Oreochromis niloticus: one gene and its partners. The protein of the gene in region 1 purifies or fractionates together with the protein of each later gene. This does not show direct contact. Links are inferred from orthologs where the notes say so. Each region holds a gene or a part of one and is shown in the gene's direction. Other genes may lie near its edges.

Evidence for each region.
Region 2: the proteins of smurf1 (region 1) and smad6b purify together in Homo sapiens (affinity purification with western blotting; 4 studies listed by BioGRID). This does not show direct contact. The link is inferred for Oreochromis niloticus from reciprocal best matches to the Homo sapiens genes SMURF1 and SMAD6.
Region 3: the proteins of smurf1 (region 1) and stk38a purify together in Homo sapiens (affinity purification with western blotting; 3 studies listed by BioGRID, with this or other methods). This does not show direct contact. The link is inferred for Oreochromis niloticus from reciprocal best matches to the Homo sapiens genes SMURF1 and STK38.
Region 4: the proteins of smurf1 (region 1) and tgfbr1b purify together in Homo sapiens (affinity purification with western blotting; 3 studies listed by BioGRID). This does not show direct contact. The link is inferred for Oreochromis niloticus from reciprocal best matches to the Homo sapiens genes SMURF1 and TGFBR1.

The regions. Positions count from the first base shown.
Region 1 is NC_031969.2:10,628,759-10,636,632, reverse strand, and holds the start of smurf1 (E3 ubiquitin-protein ligase SMURF1), read left to right. Parts: upstream 1-4,867; 5' UTR 4,868-5,097; coding exon 5,098-5,152; intron 5,153-7,874. UniProt on the Homo sapiens protein: E3 ubiquitin-protein ligase that acts as a negative regulator of BMP signaling pathway. Mediates ubiquitination and degradation of SMAD1 and SMAD5, 2 receptor-regulated SMADs specific for the BMP pathway.
Region 2 is NC_031972.2:51,546,179-51,553,881, reverse strand, and holds the start of smad6b (mothers against decapentaplegic homolog 6b), read left to right. Parts: upstream 1-4,695; 5' UTR 4,696-5,557; coding exon 5,558-6,347; intron 6,348-7,703. UniProt on the Homo sapiens protein: Transforming growth factor-beta superfamily receptors signaling occurs through the Smad family of intracellular mediators. SMAD6 is an inhibitory Smad (i-Smad) that negatively regulates signaling downstream of type I transforming growth factor-beta.
Region 3 is NC_031984.2:35,168,910-35,175,853, reverse strand, and holds the start of stk38a (serine/threonine-protein kinase 38), read left to right. Parts: upstream 1-3,941; 5' UTR 3,942-4,089; intron 4,090-4,121; exon of another isoform or gene 4,122-4,190; intron 4,191-6,944. UniProt on the Homo sapiens protein: Serine/threonine-protein kinase that acts as a negative regulator of MAP3K1/2 signaling. Converts MAP3K2 from its phosphorylated form to its non-phosphorylated form and inhibits autophosphorylation of MAP3K2.
Region 4 is NC_031974.2:34,527,560-34,534,993, forward strand, and holds the start of tgfbr1b (transforming growth factor, beta receptor 1 b precursor), read left to right. Parts: upstream 1-4,417; coding exon 4,418-4,481; intron 4,482-7,434. UniProt on the Homo sapiens protein: Transmembrane serine/threonine kinase forming with the TGF-beta type II serine/threonine kinase receptor, TGFBR2, the non-promiscuous receptor for the TGF-beta cytokines TGFB1, TGFB2 and TGFB3.

The DNA.
Region 1 (7,874 bases):
TGATGACAAATGGCACATTAATCGGTTCGGGGCTGGACTCTCCTACTGCCTGTCAAGTTCGAGAAAGATTGCCTAATGTATCTTTTAGTTACAGTTAAATGCTTCTTCTGATCGAAGGTCGACGTGTTGCCATGACCACCTGGTTTCACGAAACGTGAAAAGCCTTGCAATTTAGCATCACCAAGGTCTTTAGATTCCACTCTTCGAAGACCATGTCAATGTGATGAAATCCCTAGGAGGAGTTCGTTAAAGTATGAGGCCTGAAAACATCTCTCAATTTCAGACACGTAGATGAAACATAGGGCAGGGCTGGTCTTCTGAAATTTTGTAGGGGGTGCTGTGGAGCTATTTTGCAATATTCCATGAAAACAACCATATAACAAGAAAGCCTTCCTCACGTTGGAGGTGTGTTTCAAAATTCAAGAGTTTTCGAGCTTTCCAAGCCCCTCAAAAGCTACTTTCTGTTTCATGGCGAATCGCCTTGCCACCAGGGTGCGCCAGTCAATAAACTCACAATTTTAACACTGAAGCACGATGAGGGACAGATGTTAATCCAACTCCAGATGCTTTTCTTTCCAAGTTCCACCAATGTCCACTGCTTTCACGGTGGATGGGCTCAACCTTTGAGGAGCAGTGCACCAAAGTATAAGACATGACATTTCCTGTTCCCAATAGGTGGCGCTCTGACTATTCCTGACAATGGGCATAGCAATCTGTTCTGGGTGGGAGTGTTATCATGCCTGTGAACTTTGTTAGCGATCGGACTGAATTTCTTTTAGTTATAGCAATTTTGTTCTTCATGGCGAAACATCGAATTTCGCTAATCCGCCGGGGTTTGACGAAAACTCACAGTTTTCAGTGTAACCCAAGACCAACTCCTTAAGGCTTTTACTGGACAATTGTGAGGTTGCTGGGGCCACCCACCTCTATACTGTACCCCAAAGTGTAAAACATGACATTTCCCATTCCCACTAGGTGGCGCTGTTGCTGATGTCAAATATAGCACATCTTCAGGGGCGGAGCCTTATTATATGTGAGATGTCTGGAGGAGATCGCAAAAAGTATGTGGAAATCAGACGCTTGCTGAAAACATCTCAAAACAAGTGGAGCACTGTGAGTATGACGGTTAAACTTCTCACGTCAATAAGCCCGGGCTAAACTAGGCTAACTTTGTTATAGGTAGTTTAGTGCTCTTCATTATGGGGCGACGTTTGTAAACTGAATCATGCTGAAATTAATGGCAACATTTTTCCACATTTAGCTCAAAACCTTACAAAAACATGTTTTTTCGAGTCATTTTTTACAGAGTGCCTTATCTGAGACTTTAACATGCTTATGGCGGAGTGTAACAACTCTGGAAGAGCAGTGCACGGTCTGGACAGAGGGACCTTCCTAAGCATGCTGCACAGGATCTTTGGGCTGACTGATGACAGGATCACGGGTAGAGGTATTCAGTTTACAGTTATTTATATTTATTTATTTATTTACAACCCAAGTTCCAAAAAAGGTGTGACGTTGTGTGAAATGTAAATAAAGGCAGCATGCAATGATCATTTTGAATTTGCATAAACTGTAGATGCAATTTTTTTTTGTAGATTGGCAAACCTCGACCCATCTTTACTTCTGAGGAACTCCGTTTCTCAACGATGCTGTTTTGGTTTTTTTTCAATATATATCCAGTCATGTATCCAGTCATCCTCTGTTGGTAAAACCCTATGTTGACTTTTGTTAGTGACCTACTGCCAATTAACCTAAAGTTGCAAAATGTTTCTCTGTTTCTTTTTTAGTACCACTTACTTTTGCACCCTACTGTTGCCTTCTCAGCTGTCTTGAGATATGTTGGTGCCATCAAATTCAAACTATTAGGAGACGTGAGTCGTCGACCCAGAGTTTTGAGTTTTGTATTGTACTTTGAGTTCTGCCTTCTAGTTTCTGATCTGTGTTCCTTAGTTGCTTTTTCTCCCCTGTCTGCTGTATCCCCTCGTCAAGTCCGCGTTTCTGTGTTATGTTTCCTGTTTTAGTTTGAAGGTAAAGTTGCATTTCAGTTCACCTTTTTACTCCGTGTGTCTGCACACAGCCTCCACATGACAGAAGATCGCATCCAGAACATGGACCTAGCAGACCGTGAGCTGTATGAGCGTCGGGAGGCAGCCTTTGGCCAGCTGGAGGAGCTCCGCTGGAAGCCCTGGCGTGCTCCTGACTATGATCGTATCGTCTATGGTACTCGTGTACTTAAGCCCTGTGTTTTTCTTTGGTCTTTGGTCCTCCACATGACACAAACAGAGCTAATATTGTTTTTGAAATAGTAAAATGTCAATAAAATGGTGGCAAGTAAACTAAATCTCCAAATTATCAACAACAATTCAACAATTTCTTCAGTACGAACAATTAAAATCTAAAATTAAATCCAAGACATGTTGTGAGTGTAACTGTCTGTCATTCAGTCTTCACTACATAAGACAAAGACGGCGTTGTCGGCATGGAAGAGTGGATTGAGGGACTGTCTGTTTTTCTTCAAGGGACCTTGGATGAAAAAATTAAATGTAACTCCTCAATCATACTTTTTTTACTTAAGCTCACTCTCACACCTTCACATATGTAACTTATCTGCCTAAAAAAAAATTCCTGTGTTTGGCTGACATGGTAGTTTTTTCTGTCCTCTTTCTGTTCCTTTTCTCTCACTTTGCAATAATAAAATGAGACACAAAAAAGTCTTAACAGATGAAAAAAAATACAGCTGAAAATAAGTATTCTTCAGAACTCGAGTGCAAAAATCCACATCATTTAAAAATGATTGTGAAAATGTACAAAGAAACAATGAAAAGATGTAAAGTGACTAGTTGTGTGTGTGTGATTATCTTAACTTGGGTTTGCTTGGACTAAGGTGGAACTAAGTTGTTGTTCATTGGAGTGGTGGATTTTGAGAGACAAAATCTAACCTATAGATATAAAATTATACGGACTTAGCACACATGCAGCACACCACCATAGAAACTTTTCTCATCCATGTGTTGCTTTGCTGAGCCGAAACAAAACCAAATTATTCCGAAGGTTCTTCAGACTTTGCCAGTTAGGCATAATGAACGGAAGGAACTTTACAAAGTAGACCTCTGTGAACTCTTCGGCAGGATACTCGTCCAGGGGCCGGTACTCCTCTACAGCTCCATAGAGGGCACACAGCTGAATCAACTAAGTTATAACCCCAATTGCTGGGACCCCTTGGACCATCACGTAACGACTCTCTAAATTTATGGTGTAAACCTGCAAATAATGCAACACTTGACTGTGGTACAATGGTGCGAAAATGTTTGTGTGAAAACTGCAAATAGTGGCTATATTTATCGCCCATATCATACATTTTACAGTGGTGGCACATTTCTGTGGAGGCATTTTGGACTGTTTAACCCTTCTGAAACTTTTGAATGTTTTCCCAAAGTTTTGGGGATCATCAAGATGTGCTGTGGCGGATGTGAGACAAGGCTTTTTGTTCTTTGTGGTCAGCAGTGGTTTTCTCATTGGAACACTTCCATGGATGCCATTTATGCCCAGTCTCTTTCTTATTGTTTAATCATGAACTCTGACTGAGGCGAGTGAGGCCTGCAGTTCGTTAATGTTGTTCTGGGTTCAGTTGTGACCTCCTGGATGAGTCGTCGATGCACTGAATGTTGGTAGGCCAGCCACTCCTGGTAAGGTTCACCACTGTTACAAGTTCTTTTCCAATTCTGGTTAATGGCTCTCACTGTGGTTCACTGGAGTCCATAAAATCCAGAAGGGAGCAAATGCTTTTTAACAACAATGTAAGTGACGTTCCCCTGTAGCAGGGGGTGTCTCACACCTTAAGATACCCTCTTTTGGTCATATATTTCTAAACAGAAGCATCTTCTTACCTTAACTGCTTTGGCTGCTGGCCTGGCACACACAGACCATATCGATCGACTATGAGTTTGTTTGCTAACACACTTGGTGTTAGCTTGCTTGACGTGTTGAACACGAAAAAGAAAACTATGTGAAAATTGTGTTTAGTAATCCTGTTTAATCCATAGCTGTCACTTTTAAAAAAGCAAAAAAAATGCTTTTTACACCACCCCTTGAAGCTAATATCCCTGAACAAGGTGAGACAGCTTAGCTAACAAACCACCTAGCAGTATCGTTTCAGCAAAATTATTGAGTTTTGTTGAACTCAATAATTGTTGTTAAACGATTTTTAGCTAAATGTTGGCCCGTTCTGTGTGTTGTTCTATTTTTGTATTTTTTTAACAAAATGAATGCTGCTGTAAATTAAATGGCCCAGGTGTGTAGTTGACACTGACCAAATATGAAGCTGATCTGATCAAATCCCTAGGCGTTCGCAAAAGTATAACGCCTGGAAATGGCAAAATCGGCGCCAAAATCTCACATTCAATTCAAAATGGTGGACCTCCTGTTGGGTTTGCGTTGATGGGCCCAATTATTTTTTTCTTCGTCTTGGCATGTTACACGTGTGAGCCAAATTTCATTCATGTAGCTCAAACTATATGGTCATAGCACTTTATTTAACAACGCATAGGTGGCGCTCTAGAGCCATTTTGCACCGCCCATATGCGAAACTATTAAAATACCAAAAAATTTTTTTACCAGACCTGAAACGTGTGCAATATTTCTTTATTTTTTCTCTATTTTTTTGAATATGTTAAAGCCCTCAAAAAGCCACTTGTTTTGTCTGAATAATAATAAACGGAGCAATTCCAATAGGGTCTTCGTACTTTTAGTGCCCGGGCCCTAATTACTGAAGTAAAAACCAAAACAGAATGTCTAAAGACTTGAAAGAATCTGATCACCACGGGCACGCCCACGCTTCCCGGAGCGAGCACGTACTGTACAGACACTGAGAACAATACGTCAGTACGTGCTTGAGCCTGCCCGAAAATGTTCTCCCGTGTTGTCGGATTTCGAAGGAGCGCAAGACTTTGCGGTGAAATAATACATTTTTATCCGTGAGGAAACCAAAAGCAAACCGCATGTGTGGAAACTGAAGTTATTCGCAGTTCCATTACTTGGTGAAACTGTGATATTGGCTGGCTCGAACGGGAAGTTTGTGTGATCGTTTTTCCCGGAGTGATGTCGAATCCTGGGAGTCGGAGGAACGGGTCCAGCATCAAAATCCGACTGACAGGTAAAAGCGAGAGCGAAAGAAAGAGCTTACTGTGCACGTTTAAACCGGAACTCAGTGTTTGCTCGGTAACGTGTTGATTTTAGCAAACCTAACGAGACGACGCGAAGTGTCTTTGAGCCTCTCGAGTCTGCTGTTCGCCCAAACATCCGGTTTTTGTGTGGCAAACACCAGTCGAGTGCTAGCTCGTTAGCTTAGATGCTAAGTAAATTACCGAGAGGACAGCCAAGGAGCTGTTCACTGTCCTGTGAGTTTTGCAGCTGAGACAGGCGACTAGTCCACTGGTCTTGGTGAATGCCGACGCTTGAAAGCCACGTTCAAAAACTTTATCAACCACTAACAGTGGCTTCTTAGCCTGCTAGCTAATAGTAACATTGTGGTTAATGTTGACCGCTAGCGCTTGCTAGCTACACCCTTTTTTGGGGGTGCTGACCACCAGCCGAAACCTCCGCTTCAGCCGAATGCGGCGAGCTCTGTAACGCGGGGGGGAGAGCAAATGTCGAGCGGCAGCCTGTATGAAAATTGATCTCCCGCTAGATTTGACATCCTAGTCCGGATTACCAATGAGTATCGATTGGCATTTCGCTGCTGTGTCAGCTGTAGCTGCACAAATGTCGGACTCGTTGAACTTGTCCCCACTGAAGGAAGTGCAGCATGTTTGTTCTTCAGGGGTCATTAATTCAACCGAATTGAAATATTTTTTATTTTATTTTTCAGTTTGTGGGTCGGAGTCTGCCCTGTAGGTCATATAGAAGTTTCCTCCTCCGCTCCACATACAGTCACAGCTGGAACAAAGGTTCCTACTGTTGATAATGTAACCCCACTGGGCATCCAGGGGCCTCTATTCAAATGGAAATGACCCATCTGAGCCACTGAGCAGACGCCTTGTCCCTCTGAGTCAAAAATGAGCAATAACACACACTAAAATTTGCTTTCCGTCAGACTAAATATTTCTTTGTGTGGTTTTCATGGAGCATTGCAGCAGTGTACTGCAAAGGTATGATTGTGATGGATGTCTTTTAAAGCAAATGCCTGTCAGCACTGATGAGGTGAAGTGCTGGCTGAAAATGCTCCCCACATGCTGTTTACTTACTGACTATTCCTCTAAGAGTGGATTTCAAGAAATAAGGACGGGAATCAGACTAACAGATCCAGCACACTTCGTCACTTATCCCACTGTTTATACATTTCAGTTTGAGGTTATCTGCGCTTGACGTTATCACCGAGTCTCACTTAGCCACGTAGATCTGCAAAAGAACAGTTCACCACTTCTTTTGTTTGAAATAATAACAAAGGACTGATGTCACTCTTAACATTCAAGAGTGACACTGATGTCACTCTTGACATTCAAGAGTGACATCAGTGATCAAAATAGATTATATCATTGTATCTACTGTAAGCGGGTATTTTATATACTACTAAGATTGGTAGATTAACTGATAACAAATCATTTTAGTCAAAATCAGTTAAAACACTGCAGTCATCTGGGATTATAATAGATCGTGTCCTCTTATGGTAAAGTTTACTGTAAGCGACTCTGGTAAAATAAGCTCTACAGGAAGTATGTTATCATAAAGTGTTTCATCAGATGAGTTAAGACGAAAGCAAGCAAAGAAGGTATGTGTGTGTATACTAGTCAACCATTTTTCAACTTGTATGCAACCAGAGGTTATTGCCCCTGACTGTGCCCCGCCTCCACAGGTATGAGTGGAATTCTAATTGGGTAAGGAATGTGCAATGAGCCAATGGGAGTGCAATGCTGCCAGGCTGGCCAGCTCTGTTTAGTCTGCCAGAAAGAGTTGGTTGTCCCCCCCCCCTCTCAACATCAGTATATCTGAAAAGCATGCACGTGTGTTTGTGCAATAGGGACATAAGCATGTTTGACACTGGGTCAGATCTGAGAGACTTTGTTGTGTTTACAAGTGATTATTGTGTCTTCCTGTCTTCGTTATCTTTTTCTTAAGCTTAGGTATTGCTTTGAATAACATGGAAGAACAAAGGAAGTCAAATACTTAGTTTAGTTTTTTTTTCCTTTTCATTATTTTGAAACTTGTGTAATGCGGTATAGACATTAGTTTAGGAAGCAAAAGGATACTGGTTGAATTCCAGCCAGAGACACATGAATCCCTGGGGTTGCATTATGTTGGGCATCTGGCATAAAACTCTACCAAATCAACCTAGTGCATCCACTGCTTGTGAGAAGGGAACAGTCAGAAGTAGCTTCTGTATTGAAACCAATGTAACCAAATTATTTATGTCGTACACAGTGTTAAATATTTTGAAAAAAGCACCATATGTTTGATCATATGCTTATTTTGTGAGTTTTGATACCAAAAACTTGCAACTGTAGTAATATTTTTTTTTTTTAAAAACACACTACAGCTAGCTGTTTTTGTTTATCTCTGGTTTTTGAGCGTGTGAAACATAACATTTGAATGCAAAAATACGGTCAAGGCAAGATGCAGAACATAAGTAGGTCAAAAATAGTGGAGAAAAGGGTGTTTTTGTTTGTAAGTGAATGGCGTTTTATTGTGGAAAATGCCATGAAAGGAATTAAAGAATCAGTCATTCAGTAGGATAAAGTTAGTGGACGCAACACGTAGAGCAGGGCGATATGACCAAAAATATTTATCACGATATACATTTGAAAATTTGCGATAACGATATAACTGACGATATAATTGATACTAGACAAAATACTTTACAACTCCACAACTTTATTAGT
Region 2 (7,703 bases), on another chromosome or scaffold:
GTTGACAAATTTGTCTTGCATCAGATGCATCACTTGTATAATCTATCTTTCTGCCGTGTATGAGTCGCTTGCCCACTTTGTCTGAAATGCAGTCAGAGTTGAGCTGGTGTGACCACTGCAGTATTACCCAGGGGTCTCCAGGGGTGCATGGGACTGGGCCTTCACAGGGAGAGGGGAAGGCCAGGGGACAGGCCTGTGTGAACAGCTGTGCCCTGTTTTAGATCCTCGTACTCAGTTACCTCTTACTCTTTGAAGAAGTCTTCCCTTACACGCTTTCACACATGCAGCATGCATTAGTGGAGCAGGGCTCAGACACAACTGCACAATGAAAAGTTCAAATGCCAGAACTTTGATTTCTCAATTAAAGTAAGGTCCATGTTTGCTTGGGGTTTTTTTGCTGTTGTTTTGTTTTGTTTTTTGTAGCTTTAAGATAGCACTTTAAATAATCCGTTGTTTCAATAAAAAACAATTAATAAGGCATATTGCCTATGAATGTTTAAAAACATGAAACGCCACAGGTTGTTTCAGGCAGCATGTATCATACAGTCATTGTTCTACTGTAGCACTTTGCCATTATAAGAGGACATGCATATCGCAAGTGCTATTTTTAACAGCTGTTGTCTTGACGTTTCTGTGTCTATCTTTGAAACCTTGGAATAATCAAATGCACAACAAAAGTCACTTAAAAGAAAAAAGAAAAAACATCCGCTCTGCCTGATAATCACAGTTTCTCATGTAGGAACCTCTTACAGTCCATCGTGGAGCTGTAAATACCATTTTTGCATTGGCCTACTCTTGTTGGTATCACATTGGCATGATATGTGCTGCTATGAGCTTTTTCATTCTTAATACATGTTTAAGAAGAACTTCTCTTTGTTCCTTTTGAAATTAAATATGTCCTCCATACGTGAACTGAATTAAGTGTGCAGTTTGCAAACTGATTTTACTGGCATTGAAGTGTAAAACTACAAAGTTCAGGGGCATTTCAACCGACCAGTGTTTAAACAGATGGGCAGTCTAATTTATTAATGAAGAGTCACTGCTGGTAGCTTCCGATGTCTGCCATTGATCCAGAATTATACATTGACAAATGCATGATGATACTCAATGACTGCAAGAGTAAATGTCGGTGCATAAATAGAATAAAATAAACAGAAATGAAACAGCATTGATATATAATACACTTGAATAAAACAAATTGTCAAGTTGTTTTGAAATCATTACTGGCATTTCTTATTCCAAAAGTGTTCGCTGTCTTCTTTGGTGAACACAAAGTAAACAATTGTTTTCAAAAATGCATGCCGTCATATAAACAAATCATACAAATATATAAAAAACTGAAATCCACAAACTGGTTGCTTTGGTACGCATTTTTTAACACAAATACAAAAAATTATTTCAGCGTGAAAATCCAACCTCTGCCTTGATGATATCCCAGTGTCCTGTTGATTTAAAGATATTCACACAGGTTCATTAGTTAACTCGCTGTAACAGTGACCGAGTCAAGACCCTCTCCCAGGGTCACTGGATCATCGGTATGTAACTTACGCTGTACCAAATTTAAAGCATCTAATATGTCTGCATGCTCCTGATGCTTTCAGAGGTTTGCTTCACATGAATCTGTTCCAGCAGCGAGCATGGCAGAGCAGACAGCCTCACTGACTTATGAGCCAGCTGGGTCTTCTTTTGTCTTGACTGAAAATTGCATGATTCAAATGAAGCAGTACTCTGTAATAACAGTTTTCTTTTCCTTGTCTGACATGTGATTGAGTTACAAAAGGGAATGCATTTGCAACAGGTGCCTCTAACACAGTGCAGGCATGAGGGCCTCCACGTCTACCCTCAGTAACCTCCCCCTGCCCCAAAGCCCTGATCCTGCCAGGGAAATCTGATTCCAGTTCAGACACTGGCACAGTATGCTGCTGCAGCCAAAGCTTGGAGTCTCCACTGGAGCAACCCGGAGAGCTTCAGAGGTGTTCAAGTGAAAGCTGCATGTGTTTATTATGAAGTTTTTTTAAAAGTCAATGTGTCCATAGTTCCTGTTATAATACTGGAATAAAGAAACTCTTTATATAAGAGATACAGTTTTATATTTAAGCCTTAGATTACATATGTTCCATTCAAACATTACTAAGATAGTTATCAGGTTAAAGTACACTTAATATGAGTTAAAAATTTGTCTTGTTTAACATTTTAGCACATTACCAATGGTTGACTTGAGCATGGTATAATTTAATTTCCATGACAAGTTTAATATTGGGTTTAAACTTTAGTTACTAAGCTTTCTATTGCCAATCAGCAGTGTTTACTACTAAACTTTTAAGTCTTGAATTATGTTTTTTTTATTCTTGCAGCCTGTCTTGACAAGACAAGAAACTTGAGATTAGGAGGTGCCGAATCGTGGGGAGGTCAGTGCGTAAGGGTTCACCTGTTGTGTCTCCAGCCAATGTGAAGGCCACTGCCTCTACACATGTAATTTCTGTTTACTAAAACAAGCTGCTATAGCAGCTTTGCAAGTTCTAAAAAGCAGAGAGGGTTATCTAAAATAACTACGAAAACATATTAGTACGTGTTGCTTCACTAGTACATAAATAGCAAGGGTTTCTGAAACTGACATCCAAGCACCCACAGTATGGTATTGCAGTCCCATTTTCCCATACTGATACCAGTGTATAGTTCAAATGCTTAGTTAAAATATTGCAAAAGTGTTCCTATACTGTTTAGGAATTACACCATTTTACATGGTTTCAAAAGACTGTCAAAAGTAGCTGGACAATTTACCTACAAGCAGTTTCATAGACCAGTGAGGCCTGCACCCTCATTCTATGACACATTAAGCAGATAAAAAAATCTCAAGTTGATTCCAAGTGCTGAAACTGGAATTGGTAGCTTTTCACTGGAATTCTCAATATGAGGCCCAAAGAGATGCCAATGCAAGATAATGAGCTCTGAAAACTGAAATAAGTTCATCAGCGACTCAGAAAAATCTCTAGGAGTGTCCAAATCAACAATTTGGTAAGGTATTCAAAAGAATGCATGCAGTGTCCATCTCGGCTACACCGAAAACCTGTTGTTGTGTCCATGTTCTTGCTTAAGTAAAACAACTTCACAACATCTAACACATCTAAGGTGAGAACACTCTTGAGGAGTTGAGAGTATCACTGTCAAAGTCTACAATCAAGAGACAACTTCATAAATGGATATCCAGAGTTTTTACACCAAGGTGCAAACCACACTAAAGATCAAGAAGACTAGATCAGACTTAATTAGAAAACATCTAAAAGAGCCTGTACAGCTCTAAAATAAATCTTTGGACAGATGAAACCAAGATTAACTTGTACCAGAATGATGGGAAGAGAAGAGCGTGGAAAAGGAGATAAACAGATCGCGATGTGAAGCGTACCACATCATCTGTCAAACATGGTGAACCCATGTGAATTTATGGCTGTTAGCGGAAGTGAGTCACTCGTGTTTATGGATGATGAGACTGTTGATAGAAGTAGCAGAATGAATACTAACATTTCCAGGGCTATACTCTCTGCTCAGATTCAGTCAAAACTGATTGGACTACATTCCACAGACCAAGTAGATAATAACCCAAACCATACTGCAAATGCAATCCAAGAGTTTTTTGAGGCAAAGAAATGGGATACTCTTCAATGGCCAGTTCAGTCACCTGGTCTTTCTCATTTACTGGGGACAAAACTGAATGCATAAAGACCCACAATCAAGTCCTGGCAGAGCATCTCAAGACATGACACACAGCGTTTGGTGAGGTCCGTGGGTTCTAGACTTCAGGCATACTTAAAGACCAAAATATCCAAAAGTAAAGTTGTGTTGATCTGAACACCCAAAGCAGTCAGAAAACCAGCTAAGTGGCCCTGAGCCCAGTATAATGTGTAAGTTCTATATATAAGAATGTTTCTAACTTAATATAATTCTTACATATTTAAATACTTAAACTACGAGTTTAAATTGGGAGCATTTTGGTGCTTTGAATCAAAGCTAAAACTTCATGATGTGTGAATTTACTGTGATCAGCACTGCTTTTATTTTCACCCAGCAAGGCAATGCATGCGATGTCATCACAAAACTGCAGAAAAACTGTATTTTCAGTAAGAAAAAATTCCTAATGAGGTCAATGGGTCAAAGATTAGGTCTAATGCAAGATCGATCGTCCTGTCCGTCATCCTATGTAAATGCAATTGCAGGGTTTCCGTGTTCATGTAGTTTTATTATTTATTCATGCCTGTTTAGGTGAAGACAGACTGAAAGATGAGTGTCAGCATCATTATTTTTGTCTTATTTCTTTTATGCTATGTTGATGCTTTGTCTTCACTCTTCATAATCTCATAAACTTTATTAGATTATTTTCTAAAAATTTCTAGTTAAATTCCATGTTTGTGGCTCAATAAAAAAAAATGAAGTAGAAAACAAAATAAATAATGAAAATAATCAGACTTTTCAGCGGAGAAATAAAAGCACATATTGGTGCATATGAGCTTCTCAATTGTTTGTTTGTTTTCGCTTTCTGTAAAAACTTTACATACTAAGTGCAGTGGGTGTAAATAAGTTTTTGTAACTTTAACTTAAAAAGAGAGATGGGTGTTTCGCCTTTAAGAGTTAAGAAACTTGAAACCTTGTTTGCGCAACAATCAGTGCAGCTCAGCCGCCAAAGTGTCTAGACTAGCACATGATGGTAGTCAGCCAATGGCTCCACCGCTCTCCTCGGGGGCCCCGTGTATGTGTGTGTGTATGTGTGTGTGTGAGTGTGTGTGTGAGGAAGAGAGAGGAGGGGGGCTGAAAGAAAAAGAGCGAGAAACGGAGAAAGAACGGGACCTGGGCTGCAGTTTGGTTTAGATCTGAGCAGAGAAGCAGGAGCTCTACTCAGCCCCGGATCGATCGGCTTCGTAAAGCTCATTTCAGCACGCATGGACGTTTTGTTTGGATTTTAAAAAGAGAAGAAGTGCACTGACATCTCGAGAAGACGGCAAGGATCCTGACTTTGCGGTGCATTTACTTTGGATTAAAACGCATCGAAGTACCTCATGCTCTACGTGCCGGTGTAGAAAGTAGAACTGGGGTGGCTAAAAGTCGGGAACTGTTTGAGGCAGCGAGTTGTCGTCTTGCTTTGGAGGCTGTTGGCTTTGGATTATGTTATAGAATATATTACTATATGTTTTCATGTGTTCAGATTATTTTTTTATTTGCTTGTAAGAAAAAAAAGGCTGTAAACAGTCCATTCCACAGCGATCCTGGAGAATAAGCCACAGTTTCATAGTTTGTTTATTTACATTATAATCGGCTGAATTCATGCCTTTTGATCGGAATGGTGCAGTGCATTTGTTGCTCGGTTTTGCTGTTGTAGATGCAACCAAATCTCCTTAATTCTAATGTTGCGGTTTTGCCACCAATGCTCGTCACTTGGCTGTGCATGCACTGCACGGCATTTCAGCGTCATTAATGTTTTGCAACGACCGGAGAAGTGTCTTTAATATTAGGATATCCGTACAAGAGTAATAATAAAAAAAATCCTTATAGATTTTCAAGTTGTCGTATGTTCAGGACGAAACGCTCAGGTCTTGTGCGGCGACTCTGGAGAAGCCGTTTGATCCCAGATAAAGAAGGGGAAGATGGAATTGGCAAAACTGGTGAGGGCTGTAGGGACGATCTGTTCAGCTACAACCCAGAGAAAATTCCCAAAACGGAGTTCAGACCGATGACCCCTAGCGGGTCTCTTGTCGTGGACATAGGGGGTGTCTGCCCCGTGGAGAGCAGCGACTCGAGGGTCACGTCGGACCAGGATGGGGGTGCCGCGTGTGCCCAGGAGCAGGGCAGCCCCCGCTCGCTACAGGACAGCGAATGCAGGACGGTGACGTGCTGCTTATTTAAAGACCGGGACCACTCCGAGCTTAGGGGTGCAGAGACGGCTCAGGGCACCAGGGATCCGGGGTCGTGTCACTTCGGGCTGAGGAACCTTGGACCAGGAGACAGCGACTCTCCGGAGGCGCAGGAGGCGATGCCACGCACGGTATTAGAGCAAGAACTGAAATCAGCCACATACGCTCTTTTAAAACGGCTCAAGGAAAAAGCGCTGGATACCTTACTAGAAGCGGTGGAGTCCAGAGGAGGGATGCCGAGCGACTGTGTTATGATTTCACGGACAGAGCTGAGATTCGGCGGCCATGTGGCATCCCCACAGCTGCTTGTGTGTAAACTGTACCGCTGGTCTGACCTCCAGCACTCTGCCCAGCTCAAACCGCTCTGTGAGTGTAGGAGCTTTGGGGCCCCGGACAGTCCAACAGTATGCTGCAACCCCTATCACTACAGTCGACTCTGTGGGCCAGGTAAAAGAGTCTGCCACACAAACTGCATGCATGTTGTACCACAAAGGCCTGCAATGTAGCTTAAATGACAACAAAGCACTAAGCATTTGGGCATCTGCACTTGTTTTGCATGAAAAAGATTCCTCAAAGTTGTCTCTGTATTTTCACTTTGACACATCTTTACTGCAGAATATTGCGTCTTTTCTTTAAATGCAACAATTTCATATAACTTTCAAACATTTTCCATTTGATTTAAAGGCAGATCGTGCTAGAGTTACAAGGCAGAAACCAGCATTATTTAGGGGTGGGGAGTAAAGGGCCTTGGAAATTTTTCTGTCACACTGCTTTATTTGTCCTGTGTTGTTTGGCTTGGTTTCATACCCTGTGATAGAGAAAGGTTGACCATTTGATTAAACAGTTAATGATTACCGAAGCCATCTTTACTGCAAGGTGAGCAATAATAATAAGTGCGAGCAAAGGGACATGCATGAAGATTTGACAAAGCATAAATGTGGGGCAGATTACTTAGATGATACCTTGGGTAATTTTATTATATTTGTTCAGAGCGTGTGTTGAAAACAAGCCAGGATTTGCACACATTTTTCAGCGGTTTATTGTGCCTGTCAGTTTTGACCCAGAAAGTCGAATTTGAACAGCTCTGTGTTGTTGCAGAGCTCACTTCAGTGGCCTGTGACATCAAGTTTCCAATAAAGGGGAGTTTGTTTGTTTGTTCCGCTGTTCATGTATACAGCACTGTGTGTACTGTGTAGTGTGTCTGAGCAAGTCGGTGCCTTCAGAGTGATTGCCAGTACCTCTGTTTTGACTTTTTGTGTATGACATGTATGTGGCTGTTTAGAGTTACTCAGAGGTACAGCCTCGCTGCTGTATGTCACTTTAAGTGGCGTGTGCTGGAGATTAAGCTTTATTTCCACAATCAATCAGTTATCTATGGCAGAACCTCCCTGACCTCTATTAAACAGATTAGATTTTGGCAGTGGACGGGGTCTACGATTTGAAAAACCTTAAACGCAGGGCCACTCGACCCCGCTGACCCAGTGACAACGCCTGGTATCATGTGTAAAGATGCAAGCGTTAGTATTTCTGTCCCTTCACTGGCACAGGAGGAGGATTTTCCATAACATCCATGTTTACTAGAGCCAGCTGGCTGTGACAAGCACTTCAAAGTCACAAGTTTAACAATATCAGAATTCATATTGAGCAAATGAGGGAAACTGATGTGGATTTTGGCTCTGGTGTCCTAACACGCTGTCCAAATCGATCAGAACCGATTATATGTAACCTCAAGTGTGCTGACAAACCTTGCTGTTTATTGGTTTGAATAAGATCAGTTTGATAGACAAGAGTGTGATATTTGTT
Region 3 (6,944 bases), on another chromosome or scaffold:
AATTTTAAATGGTAAATGGACTGATTCTTATATAGTGCTTTTCTATTCTCCCGGAGTAAAAAAAGCACCAGTTATACAGCACCAGTTTGTGTCACACACAACACCTCTGTGTGAGTATGACAGTATGATACCAACAACACTGGACCGCTAAACCTGTTTTCATTCTATCCTGTAGGTGAACACAAAGCCAGAAATTAATACTATACATTACTCTTACTACTGATAGTTATTTTTAGGTGTGCTGTGATGACATTTGGGGGCACTTCAGCACCCAAAGAAGGGTCTAAACTGGCCTATGCAGGACACCGACACTGTGGGGTAGAGTTGGGTTGGATGCCACATTGCTACATTGTTGCTGCCACATTAGAGGACACTGTTGACCTGACAGTCTGTCTGTGTTTTGGAGTGGTCAGTTTGTGGAAAATACAAAAGTTTGAGGAGAGGAAGTACTTTGTACTTTTTATGGACCAGGGTCATTTTTCATGTTGTTGTTTTTATATTAAAAGATAATACAATATTAGTAGATTTTTTTTTAAAGGAGAGTTATTAAAAGCTAAAGCCATGTGTTAGCTAGGTTCAAATGTTTATCAAGAGGGCATGGAAAGGCAGTGGGTTTTTGTTTCTTTATGTCTTGGCACAATAGTTTGTGTTGAAGCATAAACTGATCTCACAGAGATTGTACTCCTCTGACTTGTGTGACTTTGAGTGAGTTATAGAGTTACTGGATCAAGACTAGCAACCTTTAAATAGAGACCATAAGACGTTCCTTTCCTGGATGATTGAGCATCACGATTTAATATGGAGAGCAGTTCAGTTTAATATTAATGTTGTTCATCTTTATTCTCAATCTTGCAAAAAAGACGTAGGCAAATTCCATGGCTGTCCTTTGTAATGATATCAATGACACATCAGTTAGAAATACAAAAATTACAGCCATGGAATTTGGAATCTGTCCACAGTTGGGTTGTTTTGGCTTTAACAATAGCTACAGGATTATAGTACTGTAAATTCATTCCTTTCACTGCTCGTATGTAAAATATTTCATAGTATTTATCACTGCTTCAAATTCATGGGGGCATTAGGTGGTGTTCATTTTTAAACTTACTGACATCTCTATCTGAAAAAACATACATAAATAATTTTTTTAATGGTCAAAAGCTATACAAGACCCCAATTTTTCCAGATTTTTTTGGAAAATTATGAAGTTTGATGTCTCATTGCACTCTGAAATGAAAGAATAGTAAAAATAAGCAATTGGAGTTGTCCTGTGAGCCACCGATCACACAAGCTGTTAACTCTCAGAAACTTGTCCTCTGATTGTGTCTTTGGGTCTGCAGACCTCTTCTTGTCACAGTTTGTTTCTGAGCCTTTGGATGGTGAAGGAAACTGTAGTCTCTGACACCTTACAGTACAACACTGTTCAACTGATGCTGACGAGGGTTTGGTACCACAGTGTGTTCCAACACTGCTTTTATGCAGACAGAGGAGGTTGGACGTAATCCAGAAATGTTGGAACAGCAGTAGGAATTAGTAGCAGCAGCTTTCAAGGCTTGATCAATCTCCATTGTTGCAGAACAGATTAAATTGTTAACCCATGTTGTATCATTCTGAAATGTACGTTATTTTTCAGTTTTAGGTAACCTTGCCTTTTTTTAACCTCTGGCAGTTCACCACTTTTGTACCATATAAAGCTGTTCATTGGACTTGAACGACTTGAACTGCAATAAATAAGTGGAAAAACTGGGGTGTTCTAAAATTTTTGACCCTTACTATGTGTTTACGTGTGTATCCTTTCAAAAAATTATATTTTACTAAAACCCCATTATTATCTATGTAGGGGAAACATACCCATACAATGTATCAGACTGTTGTTGATGGTAATGGCTTTTAGTTCCAAGTAAATGCAAAAATGAAAACATTTCCCATTTGGAGGCAGCACCTTAAGCTCTGATTTAATAGAGAAATGTTTATTGAAAGGCGTATCAATTATCAGCAATTCATGCGTAGAAAGTGTAACAAGCCGTCTACCCTACCCTATGAATCTTTAATGATCCATTTACACTTGTGTGAAACTTTTCCCAGCATTACCAGCAATACATTATCCCAGGGCAGGACTGGGACAAAAAATCGGCCCGGGCATTTTGACTAGAGACCGGCCCACCAGGTATTATAGGAAAAGCCATAAAGCCTTTGAATGAAAACAAACGCTGTTGTGACAGTGATGTACCCTGTCTTTTGGTATATTTATGATTTCTATACATTTTACATCAGATGAAAACTTTGGTTTTAAGATTCAGATAATTATTTTTTTAAAAGCGAGACATTTTAAATGAGAGTAAGAAAGAAAAGTATTTCTTTGTGCCCCCCTTTCCCTGTTAATGCCCTACCTGGCCCCCTGGCAAAACTTTGCTAGACCCGCCCCTGCACAGTTACCAGCTGTCAGCTACATAGAAAAGCATCCTGGTGTTATTTGTCTCTCAGAAACAGTTCATAACTTCCCTTCAACTCATCCATGTCACCTAAAAGGTAAACCTGTTTCTCCATCACCTGTTCAGCTCTGATGATTCAGTAAGGACATCTCCTGGTTTCATCTGCATGTTTCCCTCTCACCACATATCCAAACCGACATCATGACCAGCAGCTTTACAGCTGTGGCTCCAGCAAACATCAGCTGACACTAGAAATTAATATTAAATAAATTCTAACAACAGCTGATCAAGCTTAAAGGTGCTGCTGTTGTTTAACGCGACATCCGCTGGTTTCCTCTTTCTGGCGCAAAGTGGGCGATAAACAAACAAGACAGAAAAGCCGATCAGCTGATCATTGATCAGTTTCATGATTGAAGTAGAAACAGGAGAGGGAGGGGGAGAGAATGAGAGAAGAAGAGGCAGCTGTGCAGCGTAAAGACAGAATAACTCCAGCTTTGTGTCTTTTCCATTCTAGCTGAAGTCCGGGACAAACTGTGTTCCTTTTCACCTCAATACGAAACGCGTAATATTTTCTCTGAATACCAGACGATTCTGTTTTTTACTGGACGGTTGGCAACTTTACTAACTAACCTCATGAATAAAATAAAGTTCACTATCAGTAACATCACAGCACCCACCCAGCTGTTTAGAAACTCCATCATGCTAGCTAGCACGCAGTACAAGTTATTGTAACTGACTGTAAAAAGTCAGTACAATGAAAATAAACTCCACCTAAACTTGGTTTATATCTGACCCGGATAGACTGCAGGTCATAACTTCTTACCTGAAGTTTAGTTCACCTGACACTCGGACCGGTGGCCGCCTCGGGTCTCTCCTCCTCCTGCCTACCCTTTCCCTCATCCACCTGCTGGCCTTTATGGTAGCTCCGCCATAGCCACCACCAAACAACTCAGTTATTTTTACACCAGCATTTGGCCAATCCACCACCTTTCATTGTTTATACCGTTACAAAAACAAAACAAAACAAAACAAAAAACCCATCGGCCCATAAAAACGAAAAATCACTATTGGCCCACTGGGCAAATGCCCGGTATGCCCGATGGCCAGTCCAGCTATGCATTATCCTAAAATTGGATCCTAAAGAGAAAACAGGGTGTGTTTAACTACCGGACAGAGCAAAAATAAATATTATTGCGAAACTTGAGGCAACTCATTTCTCTTTATGCAGAGAATAGCCTATATTTTATAGCTGTAACTTTATTGTTTGCTGAGTTTAAAGCTTTCTTGATTTCCTTTGAATGTGTATTATTATTTTAATATTCCTTTAAAACTATTATATTCTAAAAAGAGCTTTGTTACTGCTGTCAAATAATGTTGCTTTCTTACAGTACAGTGCATATTTGTTGTTAGCAGTAACGCCGTTGAGCTGTTTCTCGGTCGTCTTATGAAAATCAAATTATTAACATGTTGCCACATGTTTGAGTGAACGCTCAGTGTCATGTATGTGACGCGCAGTGGAGAAATCAACCGTCTTTCCTGTGCTGGCTCACGGAGGAGGGCATGATGCGCCGCTAGGTGTCCGCTGAGTTCAAACTGCTGGTGACGCAACGCTCATCGCAAAGCAGAGCAAGAGGCGACAGACACCGCACCTTCGACCAAGGTAAGCGAACAAAGAGTAACTCTAAAACGTGGAATTAAACGACGACAAGTCGCTGTGGTAGCTGCTTTCTTCTTTTCGCTGCCTTGTGAAACAAGTAACGCGTATGTGTTTTTGTTCCTTATTGTACTTGTAACAAACGACTAGGGCGCTTTGAGCAGATAAGTAGCTAACGTTAACTAGCTAACTTTCACTTAGCTGTTTGCTTTGGAGAACTTCAAGTCAAGTTGTAAAGCAGTGGGTACGAAGGCCGGTGTTTTCTGGTCAAGGCTTTAAAAAATAAAGACGCGTACGTTCAAAGCTGAGGCGAAACATTTCCTCGAAAAAAGGCCGTTTTATTTTGAAGGAAGTATTGGGTATCGCTTATGTTTTCCCTCGCTGGCTTTACGCTGGCAGGAACTTTAATAGCAAACTAGCTAGCTAACTAATGATAGCAAGTTAGTGTAGTAGAGTGAGATTAATGAAACTTTGTAAATTTAAAGTTCTAAACTTCAAGAGAACTGAGGAAGGATTGTGAGTGTTGGCTTAAGTTATCCTCTATCCGTAATTCTTGACTCTTTCGGCACTGCGTGCATCCGGAACTACGTGTTGTTGGCTCCTGTCGGGTTTCAATGCTATTTCTTGACCGTCGCGTTTTATTTATTTCCTCTTTTAATGTACTTATTTATCTGAGATCATAAAACTTTGAGCAGATGCAACTTGCGGAAAAAGGCAGAGGGTGTGGGCTTCAGTGAAACGTCCTAAACGTCTGACAAAACATGAAATGGGCTTTTCCTCTGTTTTTACCTCTTTTTTTTTCTCTCTAATTGTGTCACGTGTTGAATATTTAAACCATAGAATTTGTTTACTACACATAAAAACTAATTTACTCTCCCACACACCAAATATAACTAAAGTTACTAATGTTAGCTGTACAGGCTGCAGGGAAGCATGCTATTATGAGTCTACCATTATAAACTTAGTGAGATAATTCTTGGGGTTCTTTGGGATTAGTGGTGGTTTGGAGGTTGGAGATATCTGTGTGCTGATTTCCCACAGTGGAAGCCTGTGTGCTTTCCTAAACAAATTGTTAAACAGTCCGATGTGTAAGTTCCTTCTTTATACATGTTTGAATCCTTTGTCAAAAAGTATGTAACAATATAGTGTACAATTCATCGAGTAATTCGATTATAAAAGGTTTTGCTGCGCCACTCTGTAGCATGAGTGCTTCACCCACATGTGCGACTAAAAACAGACCAGCAACAGAAACGTACTTAGGGGCAGCGTGTGAATAAAAAGTATAACAACATTAAGCCCACACAGCCCCCAGTTATAAACAAAAAGACTGATAACACAGCAGCTGAAGTGAATAGGATGTTGTCACATGGAGCGTGCACACCATTAAGAGCAAAGAGGCTGAGCTGTTACTGAGACGCTGAGTGAGAAACATGTTTCCAGCAGCACTGGTCCTGTAATCACCAGGGATGGGGAAGAATTGAGCAGTTTCTTCTCCATTATAGATATCACTTATCAATTCTCATTGGCTCCACTTTGAGTCACCACCATGTCTAAGCAGCATATCAAAGACATCGTATTCATGCAAATTAATTACGTTTGTGCATGTTGGAGGTGTTCCCCTCTTTGTTGTGATCAGTGTTCCAGTCATTACTGAAATAAGTAATTAATGCACATATTACACAGAATACTTTCCTTGAAGGTAATGCAGTACGTTACTTAATTACACCTAGGATTCGTTACGTTACTTTCATGTTGAATGATGTGAAACACTGTCTGATAATTACCAATTAATAATATAAACCTGAGGCTACACCCCCACACACCAACACAAATCCCTGTCCTAATGAGGACACACCTGAGCTTTCTCTGAGCATTTAGGTATGAAAACAGAGCTGATGACACAAATCAAATATAAGACACTTTAAAGTGATCACCACAGAGATTCTACTGTAGGAACGTGAACAGGTAGAACAGAAGCTGCAGCCTGGCTGTTCATCAGTTTGTTACCTGTTGATGTTCAGCTGTGGCTCACTTTATCATGGTGCTGGTCTGGGGTCAGCATTTACTCAGCTTTAACATCACTCTGGGCTCTTGGCTAGCTTAGCGTTAGCATGCTTGCTGTGCAGGTGCTTTCAAAGAGCCAAAGTTGTGTTAACAGTATGAGGCAGTTGTTTCTGTCCTCCACTTTACCATTGCGCTCTCATCCTTTTGTGCAATAAAGCTAATGTCCATATCCAAACTGAAATCAGCTGATCGTAGTGAGAGTGCAAGAATTGACAGGCAGGCAGAATAATGATTCGATATATTATTGTGTCCTGAATGTTAGGCAGCTATCTGCCACCAGATGGCACATTGTTGTTGAGAAACACCATGAATCTGTAAATCTAGGCGTAATCTTTTTGTTAACAATATTAGAATTAAATTGCGGATACAAATTGGCTTTGTCCGAAAGGTGGTTGAGCTCTCCCTTAGATAAAGAATTCAGTCATTTGGGAGCTGCTACTCCTCCACATTGAAAGGACACAGCTAAAGCTGTCGCCTCCTCGGTAAAGTATTTAGACCAAGCATGTCCTACTTGGAGGAGGCCGCAGCGTAGACCTGGGACACACTGGGAAGCTTATATCGATTGGCTGGCCTGGGAACGCCTCGATGTTTCTCCCGATAAGTTGAAGGAGGTAGCAGAGGGAGATTTGGGCTTCCCTGCTGCAGGCCCTGCAACCCGACGTCAGATAGGCGGATGATTTATTATTTTAGATTTCAGCTTTTAATTCAGTGGCTGTCATGAACATTCAAACAGTGTGCACAGCACTAAGCACCACACGTCACAGTTTATTCGTTTTTCAGACGTCATATTTTAGTAA
Region 4 (7,434 bases), on another chromosome or scaffold:
CAGTCTTGAATAAGGAGGGAACGATACCGGTGGTGAGTGAAGAGTGGACGATAGCAGAGATGAGTGGGAGTAAGGAAGAGAGGCAGGATTTCACAAGCCCTGTGGGCACAGGGTCAAGATGACAAGTGGCAGGCTTTGATTTACATATAACCTCAGAAATATCAGATAAATCTGTAAGATGAAAAGTGGAAAATGGCTCAAAATAGAGAAAAGGTTCTGGAGAGGGCGTAGACACAACATTTGAACTGAGTTGCTGGTGAATGTTATTAATTTTTGTAGTCCACAACAGCATCAAGGAGTTACAGGTCTCAGAAGAATAGAAGTGTGGTGGTAAAGCGTTGGGGGGTTGAATTAGTTTGTTGAGAACCGAAAACAAAATCCTTGCGTTACCCTCATAAGAACTGATAATACCTGAGCAGAAACGTTATTCTGAAGTACATGGTATTTGTAGATTTCTGCATCAACATGTTGATGCAGTTAAACCAGATTTCTTCTATCCAATATACCATTTTGTGCACTGTTACTGTGGTGTGGTTCTTCCTTATTGATGTTTATACCTTGGGCTCCTGACGATCCCAGATTCTCTGATATTGGCCTAGTGACAGTTTAGTTATTCTTATTAATAAACTGTAAGAAGGGTTACAAGTGCAACAGATGTTTTGTCAAAGTGTGTCTTCATTCTCATCTGAGCACCTACAAGCTCATTACAAACAAGTGTGGCATGGCACTTTGCAGTCACTCTTGGGCCATGGTACATCATTTCACCATAAACCGCCCATGATGAGGTGCTTCCCTTAAGTTTTCAAATAGAGGACTAAAAAGAATGATCAAAAAAGTTAAGCTAAGGAGCACGTGTGGAGAGCTCCAGACAGGGAGAGTATGGTCTGATCAGATCAGACCAAAGTTGATGCCATAGTACACACAACGTTCAAAAGGCACTGCATATCACCCCAAAACACCGCACCAACGACATCATGGTGTGGGGCTGTTTTTCAGCATGCGCCCTGGCACACTTTATATAACTAAAGGAATGATAAATAGAAAAATGTACCAAGACATTCTTGATAAAAATGTCTTGCCATCTACTAAGAGGATACAGACAAAATGAGGGTGGATGCTTCAGCAAGAAAATGGGCAGGAGCCTGTCTCAGACACAATAGGGTGATAGACAGGGTAGACCCCGGACAGGTCGCCAGTCTGTCGCATGGCTAACACAGAGAAACGAACAACTATTCACACACACATTCAAACCTGTGGGCAGTTTAGAATCCCCACTTAACCCCACTAACTGCGTGTCTTTGGAAGCGGGAGTACGTGGACATAACCCAGGCAAACACAGGGACAACATGCAACCTCCATACAGAGGTGACAGTGCTAACACCACCATGCTGTCCTACGTACATCACAGTAATCGTTAATATAAATCTATACAAATATAACTGCTCTTCTTCCCCTCCTGTCCTGTCTTTCTGATATCTTTCTCCATCGCTGAGTGAAGTTATCTCACACTCTTTTCTTTCCCTGGAAATCACCACAGCTGTAGCTTTAGCTAGCAACACGCTGTGCAGCAATGTGTTTTCTGTTTGTTGAATTTATAGAAACATTGAATTTGAAAGGACCTGCCACTTATAAAAACGTTACTTCCTTTATGCTCTGTCCTGTTCAGTAGCACTAGCTCGATGCTAAAGTACCACGACCACAGTTTATGGATTGTAATTCCTACACATTACATTGTCCTTTATAGTTAAAATCCTTGAATTGACGCTCGAAGTCTGGATTGAATCACCACTTGAATGTCAGACCATCACAGTTGTTATGTAGATGTATGATTTAAAAACCTTTCAAAAAATTGTTTGTCATTGTCCAAAAGTTTATGGACCTAGCTGTACCAGCAGAGATGGGCAGTAACGCGTTACCGTAATCCAATTACTTTTTCCAAGTAATGTAAGGGGTTACTGTTGCAAAAAAGTAATTACATTACAGTTCTGTTCAGTTACAGTTACAGTCATTACAGTTCAGTCTTACAGTTACATTCCTGTACGCACGCTGTGTTACTGCGTTACTAAACTGAAAGTGTTTCATGACAATGACATACAAACGTGCAGCGCCTGTGGCAGCAACAGATGTGTGCAGATCAACAATGGAGTGATGGAGAGAGTACGACCATGCAGCGTTTAAAGCGTGGAATTACTCGCATTACTTTAAGTTTTAGTCCGTAAAAAGTGACCAAAACATTACCGTCCGCTGTGCACTCTGCGTGGGAAGCAAACTTCTTTTTACAGCGAAAAATTAAACTTCAAATCTGAGTGAGCACTGAGCACGCTGCCACGGGAATGTGACATTCACAGAGAAACCCCCGGATCCTCCCACTGACATGACTGCTGTGGGCAAACCTCCACCCACCCCACTCCTGCTAAACAGGTGACAATAGATTTAAGAGCGACAGGACTCAAAGCTGCTGAATCTTTGATTTTATTTATTCTTTGCTGTGTTTTACTTGCATCTATTTGAAAGAGTGAGTGTAAACACAAAACATTATTTTATTTCATATGCTGGAACATGCAGACAATAAGTTTAAATGTTAAACAAATTTCTTTAAGTCAAAGACTGTTGCATATAATTAAATTTTTGTTTGATACAACGTGCATGAAGTCAAAAGATTAAAATGCATCAAAAAGTTTTAAAAAGAGACTTTTTCATTTGATTACGTTTTATATGATTTATTATGCAGAAAAAATAGAATTGTGCTGAAAGGTCTATTGCTTTATTACATATTCAGGTTGTGTATCATGTTCAAGTAATAAAGTAACTAATTACTTTTTGAAAATAAGTAATCAGTAAAGTAACAGGATTACTTTCTTGGAGAAGTAATGAACAATTAGTAACTTATTACTATTTTCAAGTAACTTGACCAACACTGTGTACCAGTAGCAGTCCGTTTATCATTTACTTCAGTTTTCTTTGATTTGTTTTTTAAGTTTTGCCATATTTGATTTTAATAGTAAAAAACAATTTTTTTTTTTTTACAAAATTGATGGAATAGCAACAAATGCCATCTTTTCTGACATAAAACTGTTTGTCAATAATGTCACATTTTGAAGTCCATAATGGCATTTCCTGTCTGCTTCTCCAGATGTAAGCACCAATCAAAGAAAAAACACTCTCAACTCTGTGAAGCTGACCAGTTTCTCTTTGCTGTCATACTAGATGTTTTGTATGTAATCAAATTTTCTACATATTTTGCAGATACTGTAGGTTGGATGTGTTTTGAAATTCCGATTAAATTTTTTAAAATTAATTGTGTCTGCTGTTTTTATACTACTACTACTACTAATAATAATAATAAACTTTACCCAGGAAACTATAACCTTTGATAAGCATTAAGCTGCAATTTTGACTGCAGCTGTTGAAGCTATGGCTGCGTTGCTGGGGCCAGCACTCAGCTTTATTATGTATGCTGTCTTCATTGCTCTGTTATCAGCAGCTGTTTGTAGCCTGGACATAGTTTTACTTTACCGTGTTCTTATTGCTCATTCTGGTAACTACAAACAAGTTATTTAGGAGCTGTTAAAGCCATTTAGAAAGTCCAAGCAAATGATTAACAGCATATTTAGATGCACATTTATACATACACAGATTATGAAATGAGGGTTTATAGGTGTTATTTCATTTTGTAATTCATGGCTAATTCAGGTATTTACTAGTTGTTAATTAAGTATTTTTATGAAGTGAGTGAACCAACTGAGAGTTCAAAGCATTTACAAACCTTAAAATGCAAAAAAGCCTTCCCTATCTTCATAACAGAAGAAGCACAAAGGGATACAGGACATACAAATATTTGATGTGTGATGCAAACATAACTCACTATTTATAGAAAACAGAAATGTATGTCAGACCAGAACCTGAGTTTGCAGAAGGGTTTGAAAGAGAGAGACTACGGACTTACAGAGTATTTACTCTGTGGAACCAGCTTCCAGCTTGGATTCAGGAGACAGACACTATCTCTACTTTTAAGATTTGGCTTCAAACTTTCTTTTTTGCTAAAGCATATAGTTAGGGCATATATCATAGGGCATATATCATATATCACATATCCCCTGTGTAAGACTTATTATTCTATTCTCTAAGAATAGTTTGGTTTCTATTAGAAATATACGAACACGGTGTAGTACTGAAGTAATATGAATGTAACTAAATTATAACATTCTTTGTTAATGCAGTGAACACGGTTTGTTTACAGGCGCGTTACAGTTGCTCTAGTGGGCGGGGTGTCGCACGTTCCTTGGCCAATCAGCTCGCTCTGCTCCTGAGCAGGTCCTGGCCAGGCGGGCTCGTTGCTCCGTCAGCCTATCAGCGGCCGTCTTCTTCTGCGCAGGGAGAAGTTAGCAGTCGAGTGGCAGTCTGGTTCACAGCCACGATGGGTGCAGTACGGCTTTTTGTGGTCGTCCTTCTTTTTGGGACAAGGATACAAGAAAATAATGGTAAGTGGCCTGAAATGAACACAGTAGATGTGCGTTTGTTGGTGTTCTCGTGTATTTGTCGAAACTTGCACTCTTGGTTCGACTCGCTTCCCTTAGAAGTGCTCTTTGTTCAAGAACCCCCAAGAAGCGGGTTGTGTCTAACTAAAATGGCGTAGGGTCTGCGGCCAGTCTGCTGCTGTCTGCCTGATGAATGTTTATAGTCTGGGGGAAAAGGACAAAGGCAGCAACAAGTCACACGGCGCTGAGACGGTTCGGCGTGCTAAGCTCGTTTTTGGTCACCCGTTCCGATCCTGCTTTGGACCAGCACCGGACCGTCTGAAGGAACAGTCCGAGTGTGGCTGAGAGAAAGTTGGCCGCATCACGGATGGATGTTTGCTTTTTGTCAAACATTAATTGAAATTGGGAACAAACATTTTTCCTGCTGGGATTTATGTAAATATCTGTATTTACCATTTCTTATCTCAAACGCGTTGTTAGTGTTCTGGTCAGGACTCATCTTGAGGAGCATTAATAACCTTTGATCTCAGTCTGATAAATAATTCCGTTATTCTACGTTAATAAATGCTTAAAGAGTAACTTGCTGGTTGACTTCAGTAGTTTTCTGCCTGACGAGCAGACGCTAGCCTGTTAGCTTCTGTCAGACATTAGTTGAGCGCTGCTGTAACTTTGAAGAAGAAATTCATTTAAATAAATGCTGAAGTCGCTGCTGCGTAAATGCCAGAGCTGCATCGTTTCACTGCATGTTTGCAGCAGCGTAGTTGGCTACAGTAGAAGTGTTTAAGGAAACGCAGCTTTGAAGTAGCCAGCACGATTAGTGACGAGGGCAGGCGCGTGCACTGCTGCTCGCGCTCGCGAGTGTTGAGCCCCGATTTTTATTAGTTTTTCATTAAAAAAACATCGTGGTCGCTAAAACCAGCGCTGACTGTTACAGGTGAAGGCTTTTCTTAAAGGTACAAGCAGCCTTCACCTGCATTTTTATTTTTTGCGCTTCATTGTGTGACATTCCTTTGTGTATACAGAGAGGCTGGTGATGAGTGGGGAAGCGTGATTTCAGCTGGCATATACAAAGAGGTCATTAAAGCCCCCCCGTGGGGTCCTCATATACTCTGCTGCTGCTTCAGTTGCAGGCTGGATGTTACACTGATATGTTGGCTCAGGGATACAAACAAAGGGGAGGCACTTCTGCTCTTTGTTCAGCAGGAGGCTTGTCATGGTCCATGTTCGGAGCAACACCAGTCCTTCTTTCGTTTGTTATCCTCACATTAACAACAAGTCTGATTTTAATTGGACCACGAGTGGCTGTGTGCTACAGTTTAGACTGCATGAGAGCATCTTCACTGCCACCTCTGTGCCACGTTGCTGTTCAGCACCACACCCATGCAGCTCCCACTCCTGCTTCAGCAGCATCCGCACACAGCTGAGCACAGGCAGCAAGCTAAATTGGATGGTGTCACTAGCACTCATCATCCTCCCCCCTAACGGGCTGGAGGTGATGTTCTGTCACTCAGAAAAACCTTCTTCCCTCCCATCTTCCTCCTCCATTTTTAGCACAGTAAGAAATGAAAATCGTGAAATATTTTAAGATGTAGAAACCGATCACCTACAGAGTATTCCACGTACACACTACTACATGCAGAATTCAAAGTATATACATGTTTGCAAATGTTTAAATGCAGCAGATGAGCTGGAAATGATACACGAAGCAGTGTCATTCAAGAGCTGTTTTTTTTGTTTCCTAATGTTAAAGTGTTGCTAGAAGAGTGGACAGTGGGCACATACCTGGTTTGGAGAGTGAGGCATGTTACTGTGACAGTCTGTGTACCACATGCACACCACTATAGTGACACGATCTCTGTGAACCACCATGTTTGAAGGCTTGAGTTTGGCAGAAAATCGTAGCAAAACATGCAAAACCAGATATGACAAGAGGCGTCAAAGAATTGTTGTGAGCACTGCCAGCTGAAGCTAATGTGTCACATGTCCTCCACGCTCAGTGGAGTAGACGAGGGTGGGTGATGTTCAAGTAATTATTGAAAAGTGTTTTTCCTTAAAGCAGTGGCCACACTGTCAGATGGTTACACTGGGCAGAGTGGTAGGAAGCTAACTTTGAACAAACACAGCAACAAACATTAAGCTGAATGAGAGGAGAGCCTTTTCCCATAATGCTGTTTGATGAATCCTTCAATAACAGCCAGGACGGGCTGTTTGTTAGTGACCCAGTGGTCATGGGATTTTGTTCCACCAGTGGCAGCTCTGCTTCCTCTTTGATGGAGGGTTGAACAGATGTTTTTGTTAGAAACAGTAAAAATCGACACAGACGGTCAGTTGCTGTTTTTTGCGAATGGTTGTGTTGCTCATGCTTCACTGTTGGGTGTTTATACAACATGTTATTGTTGTGGAGGTTTTTCTGGGCACCGCGTTCTCCCACCGTCAGGACTAGCAGTGGAGGAATGCCAGGCATGTGGGTGACCCCAGACACCCGTTGTCCTTGCTTAAAGAACCACAACTAATTTGAGTGGTCGTAGCCACACGAGCAGCCGTTGGCAACAATGTGTTAATGAATAACCCTCGATCACTGACGGAGAGGCTGCTGTGTTTCTGAGTGAAAGCTTCAGTCTGGCTGAGGACGACGTCTAGTGTATGATGTCAGGGCTGAAGCTGCTGGTTATTGTAGTGATCGATTATTAATGAGTAATAAAAAGAGAAAATCACAGTATTTTTAACTGCACACATCTGTCAACAATAACCAAAGCGTCTGTTTGTATTTACTTTGCATACTAAAGTTTGATTTGTTTAAAGAAAACATTCTGTTAAATACAAAAATAAATAATCTCAAGTCCAGTCAAATAAAGTAAGCTCTACATGCAGTCTAAACAAAGTCATGAAACACAACAGACTCTGTCTCCTTGGAAGGCTTTCTTCTATTAATAGGAGCCAAAAGAGTTCAGACAAT